2 separate regions of the Mus musculus genome follow, and region 1 is reported to be linked to region 2. The links are microRNA targets in miRTarBase. Many come from high-throughput screens and were not tested one by one. Region 2 holds a microRNA gene; the other region holds the end of a gene's coding sequence.

Region 1 (3,000 bases), not on the chromosome of region 2:
ACGAAGCGGAGAGCGACTTCGATGTCGCCGATCTGCCCCAGTTGGAGCGCGAAGTCCTCCAGGTGGGCGAGATGATTGACGACATGGAAATGAAAGTCAACGTGCCCCGCTGGACTGTACAGGCGCGACAAGCGGCAGGCGCCGAACTCCTGTCCGGTGCCAGTGCCGGCGCGTCCTCAGCCGGTGGCATTTCGGTAGAGGAGCGCGCGGGCCCCTGCGACCCCAGCAAGGCCCTGGCTGCCACCGTTTTCAGCGCCGTGCTGTTGGTGGCTGTGGCCCTCGCCTTATGTGTGGCAAAGCTGAGCTGACTGATATCCAACGGTCGTCCGCTGCCCCTTTTCTTTCCAGGGCATGGGCTTCGGGTTTGAACCGTTAAGGAGAGAGGTAGTGAGCCTGAATGTGTGCATATGAACATGATCCTTTCAAAGCCCACCTCTGCCTGGGCAAAACGTGTTTTGTTTTTTAACATGCTGGCCCAAGAGGAGTTAACAGCACAGGGCGGCCAGGCCATTACCTCTAATGTCTGTAGGAGCTTTACCTCCTATTAATAGAAATCGGTCCACAGTGACCCCAGGTCCCTCTGAGTTTGATGGGTTAAGACGTATGTCCCAAGTTTGGTGCCCTCACGCTGGTTGGTAGCACTCATTCTGTTTTAGACGAGACAATTTTGTTAAGGTGTGGGGTTGTATCAAGCATAGTGGTGGTGGGGGAGGGAGACATTTTGTTCCCTAGACAAGAAACCAGTTGCAGTAAGATGCGCGTGGGTTTTGTTACCTTAATCCTTTGGGGCCTAGGCTTTGGGAGTGTGTACGGATAGAGGCTCGTGCAAAGTGCTTTCTCTGTGATACACTACTGCACTTGGCAGAGCCTGCCTATTAGTCACCAGGAGCTGCAGCTATGAGAGGTTTTTGTGTCGTGACCCCATTTAGGGTCACAGCCAAGAAGGTTGTGGTGTATCCTCTGCACACTTGCTTCAAGAGAAGACCGCTCCATACTCATCCCCGGATGGGGGAGGGACAGGATGGTGCTGCTTTGGGAAGGGCCACACGGCTATGTAAACAGGCACGTTCTCCTTCTCACCGGCTTACTTTATCCCAGAATTAGACCACAGTGTTTGACCCTCCTTTGAGGGAGGGCTGGGGAATCCTCTTTGAAGCTCTTAATCCTATCTATCCCTGGAATTTACTCGATAGCCAATAGGAACGCTAGTTTTCTAGAGAGCTGCCCAACTGTCTGACCCCATGTTACAGGGAAGGGCGATGCTGGTATCACTAGTAACCAGGGGTTGTGAGCCTGGCAGCTGAGTTCAAAATGTAACAGCTTTAATTTGGAATTTAAAGAGCTTTAAACACTCGCATGCGTACACACACACACACACACACACACACACACACACTATCTGAAAGAATGTAAGCACGTTAGTACCAAAGTTGGGTTGCATGTTTGTTTTTGTATAAAGGAAACTGGGCCACAAGCTCATAGATGCCAAGTGAGTCAAGCTTAGAGAACTTTTACATTGTATATGTAGTCTGCTAAATATGAATCTGCATCTGCTTTTTTCTAAAACCCTGGGGACCAGCGAGATGGCTTAAGAGGTAGAAGTATGTACTGTATCGGGACATAGTAGTGCACACTTTTAATCCTTGGAGGTAAAGGCAGGAGGATCTCTGAGTTGGAGGGCAGCCTGGTCTGCATAATATCCGGGACAGCCAGGGCTACACAGAGAGACCCTGTAACACACACACACACACACACACACACACACACACACACACACCACACGTAGGTATTGCACTTGCAGAACATGCAAGTTCTGTTCACAGTATTCATCCACCCACTGCCAGCCAGCAGTTCGCAACTGCCTGTAACTCCAGCTCTAGGAGAGGTCTAGCCCCCTCTTCTGGACACCTCAGGTATTTGTCCCCATGGAGGCACACTATTCACACATGCACATAACCAAAACGGAAACTTTTACATCTATATTCCTGAATAGAGACTGAATTTTAAGATCATAGCTCAAACTGCCAGAACCCTCCACATAAAAGGCAGAAATGGCCCCTGCTTTCCACCGGTAAAGGATGAGATGTGAGAAATGCTCTCTGCCTTCCTGGAGGGGCTTGGGGAAGTGGTACTGAGAAAGCAGATGCATTTAACTTTCAAATGGTTGGTGGGACAAAAGCAAAGATCTGCTTGGCTAGAAATGGGATTTCCTTTTAACCTCTGAAAGTGAGAAAGAGGGGGTGTTACCGCCACTCTTTGCACTCCTTAGCCATTCTTTGGATATTTAATGAGCTGGGTCATTAGATGTCCACCTGTGATGGTTCTTAGATGACTGCAATTCATTGCAATGTTGCAAAAGGTTGACTTAAACTAAACATTCCTCTAGTAGACCTGTGAACCCAGGAAACTCACTGAGATTGAAAATGTTAAACATGAGGTGAAGTCCTTGGTGTTATGATGCTGTCTAAGAAAGCTGCTATAGGACATAGGCAAAGTCACCTCTTGCCTTGTAAAACTGGCTATCTTCTAACTAATATGTCTTCTTGTGTTTGTGAGCTAGCTTGCTGATAGAATCCTGGTTCTATTCATACTTGGATGTTGAGGTAATTCATCTTCTATAGACATTTGGTATGATCTCATACTTGGTATAATTGACAAGAAAAAAAAACCAAAATACATCAGTTAGGCTGGGTTCTGTGCAGGCCTGATACTTCACAATGATACAGGAAGATCACACGTTCAAAATTAGGTTGGTCTGGAGTGTGACTTCAAGGCCATCCTGGGCAACTTAGACTCTATCTCAAAATAAAAGATGAAAAGAGGACTGGGGTTATAGCCTAATGGCGGGGTACTTGCTTAGCGTGCTTGAAGGTTCAGATTCAATCATTATACCCCCCAAAATGTATTAACCAATATTAAGAAGGCAGAACCTCGGGGTGTCAAGGCACCTATCAAGGGAGTGAGCTATGAGTCAGCAGTGAACTGCTAATGACTACAGTA
Region 2 (7,966 bases):
ATCTGAAGACTGTCTAATTTCAGTATAGTATACTAATTTGCTCTTGGCATGGAATGTAGTCTGTAATAAGAATTTCTATCTCAGTGAGAATTTTAGTCTCTATCTGTAAACTGCTGAGTAAAATGGCAAGTGCTTAATTGTTTACTGAATGGGTAAAGCTCCTTGCTGCTATCTGGAGTCTAAGAACACTGGGAAAAGGCTTTAGCTATGTTAGAATACAATCTTAAAAGGCATTTACTATAAGGTAAAGCTATATAGAGTGCACGTGGATCCATACACTAGACTAAAGTGGATTTGGAAAATTAATTTTATGGGTTAGGGAAATAGCCAAAGATCCGGGAGAAAGTTTCCTTGAAACTTTTTTCTCATGAGAAAGCTTTCAGACTTTCATCTGTTAAGCTGACTCCACCGGAGTCCCTGGCATTGTGGCTAACACTCCTGCCTGTATTTTATACTTAACTTATTTTCTGTGACTAATACTGCAAATCCACATGTCAATAAATCCCAGCCCCCTGCCCGAGGGGCTTGATTTCGGGATTCTCATCCAGAGACCGCTATGGCTTTCACCTTTTCCCACTCTCAAAGGGAGGACTCGAGGGGCAGAGGTCCAGATTCCTCCCACGTGCACACACCCAGGAAGGAAGGGGTGCTTGGGAGAGGTGAGGATGGATGTCACCCCAGCCTTGGAGCCAGAAATGTGGATGGCAGCCAGGGGGATGGTGGATAAAAGGCGCATGTTCCCTCTTCAGGGGTGATAATATGTCGCACAGCTTGGTGAGTCTACTAAAACACCATTGACTTTTATTTTGAAAGGGTGAACTGTACAGCATGGATCTCAGTAAACTTGACAGGGCAATGTTAATAACAGTCATCTTAAAGTCTAACAGCTAAGTATGCCGGGCAGCTTCCTGAGTTCTGGGCCTGACTCACTGTTAACTGTAGGCAGCCCCATGTCTGTAGTCACCGGAAACCTGGTGCTAAAGGCTACTTGCTTGCCCTGAATGAACTGCTCTGAAAAGCAACATCTCTGAGCCCTTACCGGACAGTGTACTGATGGTATTGTGGAATGTATCATAGTTCATCCTCCCGGCAGCCCAAGGGAGCTGCCTTTATTCCCATTCAACGGATGAGGCACAGGAGGCTGGGGAGAGGACTCTTCCTCCACAGTGCAGGAGGATGGAGGCAGGACTGGAGGCAGGACTGGAGAGAGCTGCTCCTTTACAGTTGTGATCTGGAAGGTTTGCGAGGCTCCCCAGCCCTGCCACCTATGCAGCTGAAGACTGAGAAATGAGCAAGGCACTTTCTTCCTGTTACCATGTCCCAGTGCCCACGTGGTGTGAGTGACAGGAGACCTTGCTTGCTTCAGCCGGCTACAGGAGGCTCTCGCTGGCCCAGGGAAAGTCCTACCTTTGTGCAGCCTTGAGCCTTGGCCCTGACCAGGCCCAGGAGCTACAAGGAAGCCTCAGGTGCTCATGGCGGTCTTCTCACCGTCCCAAGGGCTGAGGAAGAAGTAAAGGCTTCCTCAGGTTCCTGAGGCCTAGGCATTTGGGATTCCAGCACACTCTAGAAGGCTTCTCACTAAAACCCCAGACCAAACCAAACCAAACCAAACCAAACCAAACCAAACCAAACCAAACCAAACCCACAGCAGCTTCACCTACTCCTCAGAGTTCCTGGCTCCCTAAATGCCAGGTGTTTGATGTTGTAGACTGAGTGAGTTTAGGTGACTGTGCCTCAGGAGCACCTCTGCCCGTTTACTCCCCAGGCATCTATCTGGCTGCCTGCTTAAGCTTTAACCATCTCCTCAAGAGAGTGCAGGCCGTGGAGAGCCTGAAGGTGAGAGAAGCCACCTTCCCCATCTCTGCTCTGGAAGTCACATGTTCCCCAGACCCCTACCTCTTGCCATGTTAGGAACCTCATACAGGCTCCTTGAAGCCATCTATGTACAATTCTGCTGCCTGGCCCAGGCACCTGTGAAATCCTCAGAGCACCGCACCAGCTCAGGCACTGGCATTTCTAGTTCTTATCCCTCACCCCTCACTCAGCCTTGCACATCCCTGGGCCCACAGACAAGCAGCAGCAGGTGGGTGCAGCAGACCCTCTCCGGTGCTACGGTTGGGAGTACTTGTCCCATTTTCTTCTGGAAACATCTTTTCATGAGCCTATAACCTCTAGGGAGAACAGCAGTTTTGCTGACACAAAGGGCACTAAGCTGCAGGCACCTTCCATCGTCCTACAGGACAAGGACTTTTACATATGGTTGACTACATAGCATCCCCTTTAAGGAGGCCACAAGGACAAAAATGGTAGCCACAAAAACCCGAGGTGCAGTCCTTTACTCTGCATACTGGGCTGTAGTTAAGCCAACTTAAGCTCATCTCCGTGTAGGTTATAAATGAATGGTTATTTTATTTGACCATTACTGGGGGGTAACCCCTAATCTACTTTCCTAACTGCTGGCCTGGCTACCTCCCCAGCCGTGTGCCCCAGACACTTGCCAGTTTCTCTTGGCCATGTGCTCAAGGTCCATTCCCCCCACCACCTCAACTCCCAATCCCACCTACCTCTAATCCTCCAGTAATTGACTGTAGCCATTTTATTTAAACAATAGTTTTAAATTAAGGAAGAAGGTTTGCACAATAAAAGCCTGTAGACTTTTGGGTACAGAATTTAGCATTGCAATACATAGACCAATCCTTAGCACTCAGCCAAGTGGAATGCCTTCTAAAGTGGTTTCTTGTAGTAAGGATTAAGTAAAATGCATACAAAGTTCAGTAATGTCACTGTCACCTCCACCTGCTGTGAGCTTTACAGAGTTCAGAAAACACCATCCCTAGTCTCCTTCCTCAGATTCCTCTGTAGGGGTGTGCTTAGCACTGTAGTACCATAAATGGCCACCAGGTGGTGACCAAGCACCCAAGCTTTACTGTTTTTGTTCAGAACTACATAACATATTGTAGTTATGTCCAGACTCAAAACTCGTGGCTGAGAAGTTCCTCAATTGTCCTGACAGGGAGATGGCTTGCCTTCTTTTCTCAGTGAAGGAGAGTTCCTGACATGCGGAGCTCAAGGCCTCCCAGGGTGTGCCCTAAGATCACCCACTGAGGAGTCTCTGTCATCTCCCTGAGACAACCTACCTGCTCTGCTGTTTCTGGAGTTGGTACCATACAGTTCCCTGGCATGGAAGGATCGGGCCAGGCAACTCGCTAGCTGAGCAGTTTGTCGACAAAGGGCAAACATGCACATAGCTCAACAAATGGGCCCCATCCTCCCTAAGGGCACTGCGGAATTCCTAGGAAACAGCAGTGACCACCCATAAAAGGAGGAGTTGTGGGACCTTGGGGGCCATGGTGCAGCTATGGAGGGCCCAGGAAGGTTTTATAAGGCAGGAGGGAACTCCATGGTGTCATTTAGGGTACACTGGCAAAGGAAGGGGCTGGATCCTAGTTTGGCTAAAAGGCAGGCTGCAATGAGTGTCCCCAGTTATGACTTGGTGGGAGCAGTTGTGGCTTTGCAGAGGCTGAACTGGAGAAGGGGATTCCAGGGGACACCTAGATCCAGGGGACACCTAGATCCTGACCCCAAGCCTAGAGAGCCAGCTCTCTCCCTCTCTCCCCAGTCTCCTTCTCATACTGGCACTGGATATGTTTATATCACAGGAAAAAAAAAAGAGTCTGAGGATTAATTTTTTTCTCAAAACATATATTTACCTCCCCACTCAGTACACCTTCGCCACCTCTGCCAGAACCTCCCTGGAATGTGTAGTTCACCCACCCAGCATCCCATGCCCTCCCTAGCCCTTGGTGACAAGGCCTTTCACAGCTTGCACAATGGCGTCCTTGTCAATACCGAACATCTTCAGTAGCTCAGCTGGCTTGCCACTTCGTGGTACTTGGCTGACAGCCAGGCGAGTGACCGTCACTCCAGGTTCACCCACTACGGCAGCAGACACTGCCTCTCCTATGCCACCTGTGCAGAGGAAAGTCAGAGAGGTCTTAGTCCTGAGCCAGAGATGACAAAGACACAGCCCTTGCCGGAGCAGACATCACTAATCCACCAGGGTTCCCATGATTTATTCTAAGTCCAGATGTGCACTTTCTTTTTGTCACTTTTTCTTTGCCACTTGCCTGATTTTACACAGTGCTGGGGATTGAACCTAGGGCTTCATGCACACAAGGCAAGGACTCTACCATCAGAGCCCTACATCTATTTGTTTGTAGCTTTGACTGGCCTAGAACTCCCTATGTAGCTCAAGGTGGTCTTGAATTCAGAGATTCACCTGTCTTCACCTTCTGAGTCCTGGGATTTAGCCTCAACATTTAGCTTTATGTAATTAAAAAAAAATTGTTTTTAAACGTGTACCGAGTGTTTTTCCTGCATGTCTGTGAGCCACATGCTTGCTCCACGCCCTCAGAGGCCAGGAGAGGACACTGGGGACCTATAGATGCTTTCGAAGGCTATGTGACTGCCGGGTCTTCCCTGCTCCTTGAGTTAATACTTTAAACACTTCTTTATCTAGTATGTGTGTGCACACATATGGTACAGCTGGGGGTCAGCTTGACTCCCACAAGTTGTGCATTTGACCTTAGAGTCTCAGCTCGTCTCTCCTCAGAGGCTCCTGTAAGAACAGGCATGCACTTATAGAGGACTCAAGAAGACACTCGGTACTGTCTTTCCTGTTTGTTCCTGTCCAGCCATCTTACCTCCTTGATACGAGGCCCAGGAGTTCAGCTGTGGCCAGAAAACCCAGAGCCTTCATCAGTATAGCTGAGACCTGGCCTCTTCTGAGGCTTTAGGCTTTGGTATAGGGATCCAGCTAACCCATTTGCCGGCTGGCTCTACTCCCCGAGCCCCTGCCAGGCCGTGAGTGGCAAAGGCGGACTGTCCTCAGAGGAACTTAAAGTGGTGTCTACCTCTTGCCTCCCCTACTGCTCTCTCTGGCCTTCCCTCGCCAGGCTGGTGCAGCCCCAGTTACCTTCGTAGTAGTGGTCCTCCACGGTGAGGATCCTGCCTTTGGTTGCTCGGGCAGAGTCTAGGATGAGTTTCCTGTCCAGGGGCTTGATAGTGAAGGGATCCAGCACCCGGATGCTGATCTTATCTGCAAGGGAAGACCAGAGTGCGGCTAAGAGAAAGGCTGGCACTGAGCTTCCCCTGTGTTAGAACAGAACTCCAATGGCCCCTTATCCCGAATGGGGCGTCTTGGGCCTAAGAAGAACTACTCTTTGGTGGCTAGCTGTCTGTCCACTTACTCTCACCATTGAGAATAGCTCTTCTCCCTATTCTCTCCTGTTTGGGAGAGATAGTGGTCAGCTGGGTGCCCTGTGGACCGACTGTTAGAGCAGACTATGGGGCTCTTATCCTCCTATGCCTTTGAAGATAAAAGGAAGACTTCAGATATCTGATCTAACATAAAGGTTTTTGGGATAGTGGGGAGAAGAGCTGTAGCCAGAGTGACTTTCTCAGAATAAAAGCCACCTCACCACACCCAGCTGCCTAGACACCCTGTCTGGGTGGAGCTTTCTTGACCTCTCAGGCCCAGCTTGCTACAGCCTCAGTCCTGTTCACCCCCACATTGCACAGGCCACTCAGGTCACCCAACCAAGGGACCACCTTTTGCTTCCTGGTGCTCACAAGCTTGAGATGTGACGTGTCTGGCGATCTCACTGAGAGGACGAGGCTGACGCTCTGTCCCTACGGTATCACTAGCTAACAACATTATACTTATAGTAATAATAACAGTATGAATGCCAAGGCACACCTAAGGCCTTGGGACAGTCATAAAGGCTAAGTGCCAGTTTACACGTGGGGAATCGGAGACACAAAGACGGTGAATAAGTCATTTAACTAGTGACCGGCTGAGCTGTGACTTCAGTTTTCCTGGCAGGCTCCATGGCCTCCGATCTGATACAAAGGGATCATAGGTGAGGATAGTCACCAGTCCTAGAACATAGCATGGACATGGCGTAATGGCTCAAAGGGTGGCTTCAGTTATTGTCATCATGACTTAACTAGAGATTCTGTGTGACCAGCCTGTGACCTCCCTGGTCCCTTTCTTCTTACCTTTCTTTAGACTCTCTGCAGCAGCCAAGGCCTCATGCAGAGTTACACCAGCCCCGATCACTGTCACTTGGTCATCCTTGCTCTTCAGGACCACCTGCGGGTGACATGGGGACAGTGAGGGGCCAGAGCAGGGTCTGAGAGTAGAAGCAGCAGCAGGGTGGGTGGCTCCCTCGGGTTCTCATACACGAAGGGCACTGACCTTGGCTTGGCCGACCTGGAAATCCTCATTGTTGCTATAAATAATGGCATTCTCTGGGCGGCTGGTCCGGATGAAGCAAATGCCCTGGGATTGGAACAGATAAACTGAGAAACACGACAGCTTGGTCTTCTAGAGGGCCACCCTTCCTAGATACAAGCCTCATTTAGTCAGTCAATTATAACCTGGGCACAGTCATTGTGTCCTGGCGCTATGGCAAAGAGATGGGGCTGGTTCCCTGTAGCTGGTACCTCTGAACACAGGAGAAGAAGCACCCACAGCCTGGCTAATCTCAGACTGGAAGCAACTTCTAAAAGGTAAACTGGCTTGGCTTCTCAGTGGGGCTACTCCCCAGAATGCCTCGGTAAGGCTGGCCCCGGCTCTCGGGTGGGACACGGGAAACTCTGTATGCCAGTCTGAGGCAAGTCAGTTATTGTCCTGGACCAGAGACTCGGGTTACTGTCCTTCAACCCAAGGAAGGCAAACACCAGTGGTCAAGCTGGCAGAGTGCCCATCAGCTGGCAGTGTCTGCCATGATGCATGACGAATGGTATGCTTTGATTTTCTCAGTCTTGTTTCTTTAAGGTATACACACACGAGGGACATGGCCAGGAAATGCCTCCCTAGGCAGCAAGTGACCAGCTCTACCTTGCGCTGGCCTCCTCTTCTGCCTCTGTGGAAGAGCTAGCTTCCAAAAGAACAGCCACACGACTAACCTTTGTGTTGGCTGCTAACTCCACTGCCTTCTCTGTTGCAACTCCATCGCTTGGGTAAAAGACGGTGGACATGGGGACTGACCGGAACATGGCCAGGTCTTCGAGGGCCATCTGAGAGGGCCCGTCTTCCCCTGGAGTATTGAAAAGAGGCTGATGATTGGCTCCAGCTTCCAGCGTGCCCTCCCACACGCACTGGTGCTTAGCAACAGGTCTGAACTCACCAATGGACACACCACAGTGGGAGCCACAGAGGTTGATGTTGCTCTCAGAGATGGCGGCCATGCGAATCTGGTCGAAGGCCCGTGTGAAGAAGGCCGCGAAAGTACTGCAGAAGGGCACTGTCCGGTCACGTGTGGCACAGCCCACGGCAATGCTCACCTGAGGGCAGGAGGGCCAGATTAGCCCTGAAGAACAGGGAGCCCAGAACCCTCCCGAGGCCACATGTGGGAGGCAGAAGAGGCTGCGATCCTAGTATGCTAACCCTCGAGAGTTGCCTGGGTACCCGTGGCTCTGTCATCTGTTTCCCAGCCCCAAACTCCTTTGACTTGAAATGATTATTTCAAAACTCTTAAACTCAGTTTCCTGGGCATGGTGGCGCACGCCTTTAATCCCAGCACTCTGGAGGCAGAGGCAGGCGCGGATTTCTGAGTTCGAGGCCAGCCTGGTCTACAAAGTGAGTTCCAGGACAGCCAGGGCTATACAGAGAAACCCTGTCTCGGAAAAACCAAACAAAAAAAAAAAAAAAAAAAAAAAAAAAGACCAAAAATCAACAAGTTTCCTTTGACACCAGGATGGTTGCAATCTATAATCCCAGCAACTTGGGGCATAGGAGGATCGGGAATTCAAACTAGCCTTAGCTACATACTGAAATCTAGGGTGTCCTGGGCTACATAGGAGCCTCCTCCTCCCTTTTTTTAAAGGCTCTATAGACCAGCAGGTCCCCTTTACCTCCATTATCTGTCCTATATACAAGCTCCTCCCTTGGGAATAATCA

The links. The annotated mature microRNA mmu-miR-3076-5p reads CACAGGGGAAGCUCAGUGCCAGCC and lies in region 2 at 5,133-5,156, opposite strand. An mRNA with a match to its seed (bases 2 to 7 or 8) in the 3' UTR can be bound and repressed. Matches are read on the target gene's strand: a 7mer-m8 pairs with bases 2 to 8, a 7mer-A1 pairs with bases 2 to 7 and ends in A, and an 8mer does both.
Region 1: the mRNA of Rgs9bp is a reported target of mmu-miR-3076-5p. Seed matches in the 3' UTR shown: 7mer-A1 at 1,729-1,735.

Annotation. Positions count from the first base shown.
Region 1 is chr7:35,581,815-35,584,814 of GRCm38, reverse strand. It overlaps Rgs9bp (regulator of G-protein signalling 9 binding protein), which reads left to right. Exons shown (of 1, transcript NM_145840.3): 1 at 1-3,000. The coding sequence ends at 308. Among named protein-coding and RNA genes, the nearest start is that of Rgs9bp, 2.3 kb to the left of the region's middle.
Region 2 is chr14:30,569,340-30,577,305 of GRCm38, reverse strand. Mir3076 (microRNA 3076) reads right to left here and starts at 5,157; the gene lies at 5,098-5,157. It overlaps Tkt (transketolase), which reads right to left. Exons shown (of 14, transcript NM_009388.6): 9 at 7,194-7,350; 10 at 6,973-7,103; 11 at 6,260-6,343; 12 at 6,061-6,154; 13 at 4,976-5,098; 14 at 2,582-3,969. The coding sequence ends at 3,794.